Linked DNA regions of Saccharomyces cerevisiae S288C. The protein of the gene in region 1 interacts with the protein of each later gene in a pairwise test. Each region holds a gene or a part of one and is shown on either strand. Other genes may lie near its edges.

Evidence for each region. The genes of interacting proteins can lie anywhere in the genome.
Region 2: the proteins of ARR3 (region 1) and ENA2 interact in a protein complementation assay, tested with the Saccharomyces cerevisiae proteins (one large-scale study listed by BioGRID).
Region 3: the proteins of ARR3 (region 1) and ERP2 interact in a protein complementation assay, tested with the Saccharomyces cerevisiae proteins (one large-scale study listed by BioGRID).

What each region holds. Positions count from the first base shown.
Region 1 is NC_001148.4:937,137-942,359, reverse strand, and holds ARR3 (Arr3p), read right to left. Parts: upstream 2,439-5,223; coding exon 1,224-2,438; downstream 1-1,223. Other genes in the region: ARR2 (Arr2p), read left to right, coding at 2,689-3,081; ARR1 (Arr1p), read left to right, coding at 3,328-4,212.
Region 2 is NC_001136.10:530,807-536,524, forward strand, and holds ENA2 (Na(+)-exporting P-type ATPase ENA2), read right to left. Parts: upstream 3,777-5,718; coding exon 501-3,776; downstream 1-500. Other genes in the region: Na(+)/Li(+)-exporting P-type ATPase ENA1, read right to left, coding at 4,386-5,718. UniProt on the Saccharomyces cerevisiae protein: Catalyzes the hydrolysis of ATP coupled with the export of sodium and potassium from the cell. May export potassium less efficiently. May transport other cations such as lithium.
Region 3 is NC_001133.9:137,198-140,002, forward strand, and holds ERP2 (Erp2p), read right to left. Parts: upstream 1,149-2,805; coding exon 501-1,148; downstream 1-500. Other genes in the region: FUN14 (Fun14p), read left to right, coding at 1-313; Hsp70 family ATPase SSA1, read right to left, coding at 2,306-2,805. UniProt on the Saccharomyces cerevisiae protein: Involved in vesicular protein trafficking.

The DNA of each region.
Region 1 (5,223 bases):
CTATTCATTAAATTGTCTATTACTTGTGCCATTTACCCATAACATTCATGATCATCCACATTTTAATTTTCTAAAATTGATCACAGAACCTCCATTATCATATCAATACTCTCAACTTCATGCTTTATAACGTTTTCATACAAATTAACCACTATAAGGTATCATAGCTATTTGCATTCTCATCACCTTTCAGTGAATTCCAATTTAATAGCAGAATATACTCGCGCAGCTGCTATGGTGCGTTTTTAATCTCTCCCCACCTTGGTATTCTATAATTATGCATACATGGTCTTGTGGTATCTTTGATATCGAATAGTTTATGCTTGCAATTTCAGCCTAATAATGGCGACATAAGACGTGTCCTCATGTCGCTATTCAAACGCAACTACAAGATCTTCTTACTCCCTATACTCATTCCCGGTGCCACTATATAACACCACTATGCTATACTATAATAGCAATACACATTAACGCAGATGCTATAATATCTTTACTTCATCTCACCAACTCAACTGATAATCATACAGACAGTACTATACAATACAGTCATTTACTAAAACGAATGCCGCTCCATGATATCCCAAACTTATACTGGCACCATTTTGAAACATTATATGTCACCTCTTCATCCTAATGACTTCAACTTCATGCATTATAAAATGGCAGCTACACGTACTTATGCGGGTACTACGACATAAGCTTATCTTGTCCTATTTCGTTACGTTAATTTTAATTAGACACTAGATGCACGAATTCCATTTTTATGCGAATGATCTATGAAGCCATTGTTGTACCATCACCATGTGCTATTCCATCGGGCTTACAATACTTGGGTTTAAAGCATTACTAATCTTGCAGGAAAATCTCAAAAATGACATACAATACGCAATAATAATTTTTCAGCGAGTTTCTAATTCAAAGACATTGTATTTAGAAGTGATGTACGTAACACAGTTTGCCACTTGAGTTCATTAGACTTTCAAAAATGCAATAGTAAGATTACGTCCCCTTCTTACTGAACTCCAAAACTGTGCGGAGTTTTTGAATGATGCGGGATGGCGTGAACAAACCCATTTTTTCATCCTAACCATCACTAAGATCAATCAGTTGTCCTTCAAAAAAAATTGTCAATTTTATCTGTTTTTAGGGTGAACTTGGATTAATATAGAGTTATAAGTGGTATTATTCATTGGTGCCCAAGTAATTTTTTGGTGAGTCAACAATTAATTTCTATTGTTCCATATATAATATGGTTTAAGGATCCTCGCGACTATTGCCAAAATCAATAAAATTGGAACTTCTAGCAACGGCCCAAATGTTGCAGCTATTGCTTGCTTGCTATTGTTACCATATAAGGAAATAGCAATTGCCAGGGATAGTTCAAAATTATTTGAAGCCATAGTGAAACATTGCGTCATCGTAATAGAAAAGCTAGCTTCACAAGACTTTCTTCCCCAGACCCTCTTTAAAAGTAGTTCTTGGTCACAGCTACATTCTCTTTGTGTATCACTCCTAGATATTGATAAGTACCTCATTAATGCGAAGGTCAAAAACCATGCAATAAAGAAGTAAAGCACCAATGGGACAAAGCACAATATTGCAGAACCAATTTCGTGGATAAATTGATAACCTCTACTAATAAAAATAACAAATAAAGTGTAATGAAATCCGATCATTGCCCATGGAGAAATAAATCTCAAAATGTATTTTTCATAATTACTTTTACCAGCTATGGTAAGACTTCCCAAACGTATGATAATGCCAATTCCCAGTGGTATGCCGAGAAAAACTCCGACAGACTTTGCAACCTCTTCGAATAATACCCTATTTGAAGTATTCAGGTGGTCATGAGAAATAACATAACAGTAAAATATCTGCAATGGTGCATATAATACCATCTGTAAAAGCGAGTTTGTAATAACAAGCACGACGCAGAGATCATTGTCTCCTCCAGCAATCTGATTCCAAATTAGCACCATGGCAATGCATCTAGCTACTCCGATCATAATAATGCCTTGACGGTATTCCTTATAATCGAATAGCGCCATCCACGCCAATGCTGTCATCAACAAAGGACCGATGACCCAATTCAAAAATAACGAGAGGGCTAGTTGCTTCCTTATATAGCTCCTGTAGAAGTACTTGTGAATAGACTCCCAGGAAACTTTGCAGATCGGGGGAATCATCATTACAATCATACCAACAGTCAAAGGAATGGACACTCCCATTAGATTGGGATGACCTTCAGCGTCAAAAGTGTGACGGGAAGAAGGCACATAGACAGAAATTATTACTGCAATGATTATGGAGAGAATTATAGTAAATGGCAACATCAAGTCAAGCCATGACAATGACTTGATCGTAGTCAGTATATCGGTGCGATTCACCATATTAACCTTAGAAGGTACCGAATTTTCACTTTTTTGATCTTCTGACATTATTCTACTAACCTGATGATTTGTTGGTTGGGTTCTCTTGAATTACAACGAGAGCATTCATTTATATTCTTTTCCGTTTACATTATAATTATGTAAGGAGCGTTGCCGCTAAAGTTGATTATTAATCAAACAAAAAGATAATTAAGAGCATTCAAAATTTGATTTTAAATCAACACTTTTGAAAAGTCGGTATAAAAACTAATGTATAACAAACTAATATTGAGGAAAACTTGACAATCCAGCAAGCGTAATGGTAAGTTTCATAACGTCTAGGCAACTCAAGGGCCTAATTGAAAATCAGAGGAAGGATTTTCAAGTTGTTGATCTTCGAAGAGAAGATTTTGCACGTGATCATATTACAAACGCTTGGCATGTTCCAGTAACAGCACAGATTACAGAGAAGCAACTGAATCAATTAATTAAAGGTTTATCCGATACTTTCTCAAGTTCTCAATTCGTCAAAGTGATATTTCATTGTACTGGGTCCAAGAATAGGGGACCAAAAGTAGCTGCTAAATTCGAAACCTACTTACAAGAAGAAGATATTACAAGTAAGTTTGAGAGTTGCATCCTCGTTGGAGGTTTTTACGCTTGGGAGACCCATTGTAGAGAGAGTAACCTTAAATTGATTGTTAGTGGTTGAGCTCCTCAAGCTTTATTGTTCCAGCATTAATGTAAAAGTCTTTTCAATATTTTATGTACGGCAAAACTTTTTAATTCCATTTTTTTTTTTTTTTTCGTTTCTTTTCTTATTAAATTAAATATAATTATAATTATAATATTCCTATCTTTACAAAATCATATTAGTATATAATTCTAGCATGCGGATGGTCTTTAAGGAGCGGCCGTTGAAAAAACATGTCAAAACGGAAGATAAGTGACCAAGATAATGGCAAAACCGCGTGGAAGAAAAGGCGGCAGGAAGCCTTCACTTACTCCACCTAAAAATAAGAGAGCTGCGCAACTTAGAGCATCCCAAAACGCATTTAGAAAACGAAAGTTGGAAAGATTAGAAGAACTAGAGAAGAAAGAAGCTCAGCTAACGGTAACAAATGATCAAATTCACATATTAAAGAAGGAAAATGAACTTCTCCATTTTATGTTGAGGAGTCTTTTGACTGAGAGGAACATGCCTTCTGATGAACGGAACATTAGTAAGGCCTGTTGTGAAGAAAAACCGCCCACATGTAACACTCTCGATGGTAGTGTGGTTCTTTCCTCCACATATAATTCCCTTGAAATACAACAATGCTACGTATTTTTCAAGCAACTGCTCTCAGTGTGTGTTGGAAAGAATTGTACAGTGCCGTCACCGTTGAATTCCTTTGATCGGTCCTTCTATCCCATAGGCTGTACGAATCTCTCAAATGACATACCAGGCTATTCTTTTCTAAATGATGCAATGAGTGAGATTCATACGTTTGGTGACTTTAATGGGGAACTTGATAGTACCTTTTTGGAGTTTAGTGGGACTGAAATAAAGGAGCCAAATAATTTCATTACTGAAAACACTAATGCAATAGAAACAGCGGCAGCGAGCATGGTGATTAGGCAGGGTTTCCATCCAAGACAGTATTATACAGTGGATGCTTTTGGAGGGGACGTCCTATTAAGTGCGATGGATATTTGGAGTTTTATGAAAGTGCATCCAAAGGTTAACACATTTGACCTTGAAATTTTGGGAACAGAACTTAAGAAAAGTGCTACGTGTTCTAATTTTGATATTTTAATTAGCCTCAAGCATTTCATTAAGGTCTTTTCGTCAAAATTATAATATTCTTCCTGTAAGCACAGCGCAACATTGTCTTTCTTATTGTTAATATATAAGTTAAAAGCCGAATTTTTCATTTATTTATATAGATGGCGTGAAGATTATTACGGTCAGATACCTTCGCCTATTTATGTACTTGCATGCGTTTAGATTTTATTGGAAAAAGTATTAATTTATCGTCTATCGACTAGTATTCACGTTACTAGTATATTCTGTATAGTTAATGATAGAGCCTTTATTTAAAATGGAAGTCCAATAACTATTTCAAAATCAAATTATATGTCAAAGATGTTCAACAAATTGGGAAGGCAAGAGGCGAGCACTAGGCCTGATACCCTTCTTAATGCCTTGACATACACGTGTCTATTTCTTTTTTCTTGTCGAGGTATTGAGGTATTGACCAATGCTGAATGCTTGATAATGTAATTAGGGATCGCGTACGACAAGTTTCAGCAATTGTTAGGGTGTTATTTTCATTGTTCCCGATTATGAGCACAATATGGCGGTCTTGTACTAGGATAACTTGGGCGTATGTTTCACTATACTAGAACCATGATTTTATCAGTGTAGAACAAATGCTGAAACTTTGATTCAAATACAAACATTTACTAAAACACTGTAATACGATCGATGTGGAGTATTCGATGAATATTTTTCATGTTTACGTTTATATAATTCCTTTCCAAACGCTTTTCGTCGATTAACTTGGAATTCTTCATAACATTGATTGGAACCCTTAGTTATCCATTCACCATGGAAAAGGTTTGAGAAAACTTTTTATAACTTTGTTGTAAACATATTATAGTAAAGTAGAAGAGCCTCTGCTATGCATGGTTAAGTAAAATTGCAATGTGCACGCAAGTATACATATATTGTAATTGATCGAAAAGAAGTTAAGAAATTTTTAATTACTAATGATTAATGGAAAGGAAAGGTCTTTTCTCATTTCGTTTTGTCATGATGTTCACAATAAGGGATATCAAGTAATCGGGCAACGCAAGTTAAACAGTTGCC
Region 2 (5,718 bases), on another chromosome or scaffold:
TGTAAAGGATGAAGGAAAATAAAATTCTTTCCTCTTTCTTTGCCTCGAGAGATAATATGGAGATTTAAAGAAGAAAACATCAGCCTCACAATTACACCGCGCGGTGATATAAGGATTTTGATAAAAGAATATATGTGAGTTGAATTTGAACGTCCTGGAAGGAAAAGTCTTGACGAAATAAACGCATTAATTTTCTAATTCTACAAGAATTTAACTAATCCTGTATTGAAATTCATAATTTTAGTTAAGAACCCTGTCATACGCGTAACGTAACTGTATCTGTTTCATGATTTACAACGGCAGCAATAAGAGTATAGCAGTAGTATTCCTCTAAGACATATTTGAACTAGAAAACATACTATTTAGGCTTGTTTATGTTCAGAACCTGTGAAAAGTTCGTTTATAGTAAATAAAAAAACAAATAACAAAATAAATGTAAATATCTAAATATATGAAATGAATAAGGAAAAAGATAGGGAGCACTTAATAGGCCCTGCCTATCATTGTTTAATACCAATATTAACTTCTGTATGGATTGTAGTAGAAGTACTATACGCTTCGAATGGATCGCGCTTATTGTTACTCTCCAAATCATTCTCCGGGTTGTGCGCTCTCTGAGTTTTGAAATAGCGCCTCTTTCCACACTTGTAAAGTTCAGCACCTATCCAGAATGCAATTGTGAATGCAATGGCGAGACCCCATTCAGCACCAATTGGTTTATGCAAAAACACTTTATCATTAATAACCGGAATATAGACGACGGGGAAGGCTGACACAAATCCAAAAATGATTGACCAGAACAAAAACTGGTTTCCCCAAATACTTCTGAAAAATTCCTTGACTGGGCTGTCAGTGTCTGGATGCATTCTGAAAAAGGATCTTCTCATGTCAACCACTTCCCAAGCCAGAATCAAAGCGCACCACGTCATGGTTGCGAAAGCCGCAGAACGTGATCTATAAACATCACGACAACTGCTGTTATAGGTGCCATCACAATCGTGCCCCAATCTACCACTATTTATTCCATACAGTGATCCAGTAAATGAAGCCATACAGGACCCTGTCATTATAATCCCATATGCAAATGTATCTATAATAACCTCCCACGTGAAAATACCAACCTCTGAATCATGAGGAGGTCTATCCATCAAATCTGGAGCAGCCTTTTCTAGACCTAGCCCCATAGCAGGAAAACAAGAGGTGACGACAATAATCCACAATACTTCCACTGGTGATAAGGGAAATACTGATTTTCCGTTCTCATCTCTGAATACTAAACCAATGATCAAATACAAAGCCTGAGCAACATTTTCTGCCAATAATTGTAGGACAAACTTCTGAATGTTATCCGTCATCCTACGACCTTCTTCGACAGCATTCAAAATAGAAGCAAAATTGTCATCGCTTAGAACAATATCAGACGCTTCTTTGGAAACATCTGAACCATTAATACCCATTGCAATACCAACATTGGCCATTTTTAGAGATGGAGAATCGTTAACACCGTCACCTGTCATTGCGCAGAACTTCTTCCTACGGTGTAAAGCTTCGATCATTCTCACCTTAGTCTGCGGAGAGCAACGTGCAATAACTAAAGGTAAGACGGGCAAATCGTCCACTTCCTCCTCACTTAGTCCGTCAAACTGAGATCCGGTCATGACCATACTGTCAACAATCTCTTGGGAGTAATGGTACAAATTGGTGGGTAAGATGCCAACCTCCTGAGCGATAGCCTTTGCTGTACCCACAAAGTCCCCAGTTAACATATGAACGTTAATACCAGCTTGGTGAAACTTCTTGACTGCACCGGCAGTCTCATTTCTGGGTGGATCGTAAATACCAATCAACCCTAGGAAAACTAAATCACTTTCTGCGGTGGCCCTGTTTGAAGTAATGTTTTTCAATTGATCGTCATTCACTTGATCTTTAGTGAAAGATTTGGAGGCAAAACCCAAGACTCTTAAACCCTCATTTGATAGACTGTAAACATTTTTCCTTATCGTTTCGACATCACAATCGGTCAATGGTGTGATTTTTACACCATCCTTACCATACCAAGAACTGCAACAACTGATGATGCTTTCGAAAGCACCCTTGCCATAAATATTATATGTTTCGTTGTGATTGTTGTAGTAGACAGATGACATTCGCTTCACAGTTGAGTCGAATGGGAATTCAGCAATATGTTCGAATTGTGCACTGCCAGGCTTCTCATTGTGTTGTGAAAGAGAGGATTGGTCATTCTCATTACTTTGATTAGTCGATTTCTCACCGGTAAGGGCATTGTGAGGCAAGTCCATCTTAGTAGCAAACACTTGAATCGCAATTTCTGTTGGGTCACCATGAGCTTTCCAACAGTCAGTTGCGTCATCTTTGAAAACAGTAGCAATGTTAGCCAAAGTGGCGGTTTCGAGCCATTTTTGAAATAGATCCATGTCAATATCTTCTGGTAAATCTTTTTCGTATAGGCGATCCTTGAAATTCTGGAGAATACCAACGTCACCATCCTCATTATGAGAATATTCGTAAGGTGAAAACCTTGGAATCAAACTCACGTTGCCCTCATTGGGATTAAAGGGGTCATCAGAATTCGAGATAGTTATGGTACCAAAGCGAGGGATCCAAATTTGCCTCGCTAACATTTTACCCTGTGTAAGAGTACCGGTCTTGTCAGAACAGATATCGTTAACGGCACCTAAAGCTTCCAGAGAATCTAATTTTCTTACAATAACGTTTCTAGAAACCATAACAGCAGCCCCAACAGACATGGTGATGGTCAAGACAACGACTAATGAAGAGGGAATCATGGATAGGGCCACACAAATGGCATAGATAGCTACCCTTTTATCTACGTCAAACTTTTGAGAGGCCATGACGATGATAGCAAAAAGTACGGCAATCCAGAAAAGCAATACCGCCAACTTAGACAGTTTCCTGTGCAGGGGCGTACCGACATTTGTACCTAAAAATGCACCAGTAACTTTCTTTGTAGATATCCATGTATTCTGTAACCACGACTTACTAGGATCGCGGGAAATGAGACCTGAATCACCTTGTAGAGATTTTGCAATTTTACCAATTTCACTATTCAAAGCTGTCTTGATGACAATACCCTTGGCTCTTCCCTTGACAACGGCGGATGAAGAAAATGCTAAATTCAAACGATCACCCACGGAGGTTTCTTCTTCTTTTCCAAACACTAAGTTGGCGTCTTTGGAGACAGGCAAAGATTCACCGGTCAGTAGTGATTCATCAGTATCAAAATTCTTAGTTTCAATTAAACGCAAATCAGCAGGAATAGTATCACCGACCTTCACCAGACAAATATCACCTGGAACCACATCTTTTGAGTTTATAGTCTCACTTTTCCCGTTCCTAATAACATGAGCATTGGGAGAGCTCAAGTTTTTCAAAGAGTTCATTGTCTTGGTAGCCTTATATTCTTGAACTAGGCCAATGAGCACATTGACCGCGATAACAAAAGAAATAACGCCACCAGTAATCCAGTCGCGCACAGCGAAAGAGATCGCCATGGATATTACCAAGACCATAATCATTGCATTACATACCTGATGGAGGACCATTGCTTTATAGTCAATTTTGGTATCATCACCCAATGTGTTCTCTCCCACTGCTTTCAGTCTGCGGAGGGACTCATCTTGAGTAAGACCTTCAGTCAGACTTGTGCCTATAAATTCAGCGGCTTCTTCTGTAGTCAATGTGTGATAAGCATTGAATTCTTCATTATTGTTTTCTTTGACAGTTCCCTCGCTCATCGAAAATTTTCAATTATGTGTACAAAGATTTTTCCTCAGTGAGTACATACGTTATCTGATAAGCAAAATACGAATATGAATAACGTTGATTTGGTTAACGTATTCTCGATGTAAAGGATGAAGGAAAATAAAATTCTTTCCTCTTTCTTTGCCTCGAGAGATAATATGGAGATTTAAAGAAGAAAACATCAGCCTCACAATTACACCGCGCGGTGATATAAGGATTTTGATAAAAGAATATATGTGAGTTGAATTTGAACGTCCTGGAAGGAAAAGTCTTGACGAAATAAACGCATTAATTTTCTAATTCTACAAGAATTTAACTAATCCTGTATTGAAATTCATAATTTTAGTTAAGAACCCTGTCATACGCGTAACGTAACTGTATCTGTTTCATGATTTACAACGGCAGCAATAAGAGTATAGCAGTAGTATTCCTCTAAGACATATTTGAACTAGAAAACATACTATTTAGGCTTGTTTATGTTCAGAACCTGTGAAAAGTTCGTTTATAGTAAATAAAAAAACAAATAACAAAATAAATGTAAATATCTAAATATATGAAATGAATAAGGAAAAAGATAGGGAGCACTTAATAGGCCCTGCCTATCATTGTTTAATACCAATATTAACTTCTGTATGGATTGTAGTAGAAGTACTATACGCTTCGAATGGATCGCGCTTATTGTTACTCTCCAAATCATTCTCCGGGTTGTGCGCTCTCTGAGTTTTGAAATAGCGCCTCTTTCCACACTTGTAAAGTTCAGCACCTATCCAGAATGCAATTGTGAATGCAATGGCGAGACCCCATTCAGCACCAATTGGTTTATGCAAAAACACTTTATCATTAATAACCGGAATATAGACGACGGGGAAGGCTGACACAAATCCAAAAATGATTGACCAGAACAAAAACTGGTTTCCCCAAATGCTTCTGAAAAATTCCTTGACTGGGCTGTCAGTGTCTGGATGCATTCTGAAAAAGGATCTTCTCATGTCAACCACTTCCCAAGCCAGAATCAAAGCGCACCACGTCATGGTTGCGAAAGCCGCAGAACGTGATCTATAAACATCACGACAACTGCTGTTATAGGTGCCATCACAATCGTGCCCCAATCTACCACTATTTATTCCATACAGTGATCCAGTAAATGAAGCCATACAGGACCCTGTCATTATAATCCCATATGCAAATGTATCTATAATAACCTCCCACGTGAAAATACCAACCTCTGAATCATGAGGAGGTCTATCCATCAAATCTGGAGCAGCCTTTTCTAGACCTAGCCCCATAGCAGGAAAACAAGAGGTGACGACAATAATCCACAATACTTCCACTGGTGATAAGGGAAATACTGATTTTCCGTTCTCATCTCTGAATACTAAACCAATGATCAAATACAAAGCCTGAGCAACATTTTCTGCCAATAATTGTAGGACAAACTTCTGAATGTTATCCGTCATCCTACGACCTTCTTCGACAGCATTCAAAATAGAAGCAAAATTGTCATCGCTTAGAACAATATCAGACGCTTCTTTGGAAACATCTGAACCATTAATACCCATTGCAATACCAACATTGGCCATTTTTAGAGATGGAGAATCGTTAACACCGTCACCTGTCATTGTGCAGAACTTCTTCCTACGGTGTAAAGCTTCGATCATTCTCACCTTAGTCTGCGGAGAGCAACGTGCAATAACTAAAGGTAAGACGGGCAAATCGTCCACTTCCTCCTCACTTAGTCCGTCAAACTGAGATCCGGTCATGACCATACTGTCAACAATCTCTTGGGAGTAATGGTACAAATTGGTGGGTAAGATGCCAACCTCCTGAGCGATAGCCTTTGCTGTACCCACAAAGTCCCCAGTTAACATATGAACGTTAATACCAGCTTGGTGAAACTTCTTGACTGCACCGGCAGTCTCATTTCTGGGTGGATCG
Region 3 (2,805 bases), on another chromosome or scaffold:
AAGGAGGAACAAAATAAGTAGTCACAAGCAGATGTTTTTGGGATCATTATTCGGTGTTGTTTTAGGAGTTACGGTGGCTAAGATATCAATTTTGTTTATGTATGTCGGTATTACAAGCATGCTTCTTTGTGAATGGTTACGGTACAAGGGATGGATTCGCATTAATTTGAAAAATATCAAATCTGTAATTGTTTTGAAAGATGTAGACTTGAAGAAACTGCTTATTGATGGGTTATTGGGTACAGAATACATGGGTTTTAAAGTATTCTTTACATTGAGTTTCGTATTAGCAAGTTTAAATGCTAACAAATGAGCAAGACAAATGACCAGATATAAACGAGGGTTATATTCTTTCGTTTTATACTTTTTTATTTTTGGTATTTCATTTATCCTATACAGTAAATATACATAGGGCTAAGGAAGAAAAAAAAATCACGTCGAATATAAACCTAATTGTGTTCTATATTGCGGACATATATTTTTCGTAGATTGAAAAGTTCTTAAACGTAATTTTTTTGACGACCAGTGAAGAGGAATTGAATAAGTAGAACTTGGGCAATACTTATAACGGCAATGATAATGATAATCAATATAGATAACCAAGTCAACCTTGATTCGGTGGAATTGACGGTAGACATGTTTCTCCATTCTCTGGCTCTCAAATAGTTCAAAGTCTTCGTGATTTTGTTCAAGTTTCTATCTATTTCCTCCACGGCGTTATTGGCAATAATGTCATCGTTATTGACATCAGCTTCATGCTCGTCAGTCAAAGTTTTTTCCTTTTCTAGTGTAATTTCTACCTTTTTCAACGCTGTACCATAGTTATTGGAAAAACAAAAGGTATACTTCCCCACTCCAAACGATTTTAATAAAAAGTCTGAGTACTTCTTTTGTTTCTCACTAGTAATCACAGATCCATCAGGAGCAGTAATATCAAAATCAATCTCAAAATTACCACCGGTTAGAACTTGGTAACCCACAGCCAGGGAATCATCCTCAGTAACCATATCGTAGTACAGGCATTCTTTGCTGAATGCTGGTAAACTGATAGCAACTGGTGCATAACTGGAAGATGCAGCCACTGAATTGACCAACGCCAAAATTAAAACAATGAAGAAAGAGGGTAGAGCAATTGTAGATTTGATCATGGTTTTCCTTTACAATGAGTGTACTCCACTGTTTATCTTATTCTAGTTTGGGTCACCTGATGCAGAATTGGCGGTGTCGATCCCTAAGGTTAATGAATCGAAATCACTGGAGATTTTGTTAGTTTTTCATTTTAACTAGTTCAAGTTTTGGCAGAATGTACTTTTTCGTGTTTCGGGACACGTCGCTGAAAAGGATTGAAATATAACCAAACGCCATCATGTAAGGTGCAGTGAACATTAGCGCTAAGAGGATTGAGGATTGCTTTATGAAAGTTTATGAACATTTTCTTGAATTAAATAAATAAGTCTGAAAACACTTGAATTCGAGATGCTGTAGCAATTTGTAATATTATTTAAAGTTCACAGAGTGGCTTCCTTGGCGGATCTGAAAAATAGGTAGTGATTTAAGGCTATATAATATTAGATACACAAAACATACCAGAAATTTTCCTCGAAGACCAGCAGAAGGGAACCAATATCACGACATTAAAATATTGTTATCTCTTTTTATTCAGTGCTTGTATTTCAGCTTCCATTGAAAACGATGACTGTCTTCTCAATCTTCATGTCGAGCCCTCACACTGTACATGATAATATACTAGTACCATGAAAACTAGTCGATAGATGATAATTGATTTTTATTTGAAATAGAATCTTTAATGATCACAGTGGATCTTTTAAAAACTTGGTGAGATAGTGCTAGTGATCCGTAGTCTAAATGAGTTACGTACGAAAGGGAGCCAAAAGCAATCTGACCAATTTGTATATATATACATCTATCCGAAAAGGAAGACATCAATTAGTACGGGCGTGTGGTCTAGTGGTATGATTCTCGCTTTGGGCGACTTCCTGATTAAACAGGAAGACAAAGCATGCGAGAGGCCCTGGGTTCAATTCCCAGCTCGCCCCGAATAATTTTTTTTTGCCTATCTATAAAATTAAAGTAGCAGTACTTCAACCATTAGTGTTAGCGATAATCAAGAAGTGAAACTCTTTCTCTATTTTTTTTTTAATTGAAAAATTTCCTTTCTCTATAGCGTATAGAATATATGTTACATGTATATATATATATAAAGTAAAAACGTTCGGAAAATTCCTCATTATACCCAGATCATTAAAAGACATTTTCGTTATTATCAATTGCCGCACCAATTGGCTTAATCAACTTCTTCAACGGTTGGACCTTCAGCCTCTGGAGCTGGAGGAGCACCACCTGGGAAACCGCCTGGAGCACCACCTGCAGCGCCACCTGGAGCACCACCAGCTTGGTACAACTTAGACATGATTGGGTTGGCAATGTCTTGCAACTCCTTCAACTTGTCATCGAATTCTTCCTTGCTGGCAGTGGTGTTGCTGTCTAACCAAGAAATAGTCTCTTCAGCCTTCTTGGTGACGGTGTCCTTGTCAGCTTGTTCCAATTTGTCACCAGCTTCAGAAATGGTGTTCTTCAAAGAGTAAGCAATGGATTCCAATTGGTTCTTGGAAGCAATTCTTTGAGATTCCTTTTCATCTTCTTCCTTGAATTTTTCGGCTTCAGCAACCATCTTTTCGATATCTTCCTTGGACAATCTACCCTTGTCGTTGGTAATAGTGATCTTGTTAGACTTACCAGTACCCTTTTCGACGGCGGAAACATTCAAAATACCGTTAGAGTCGA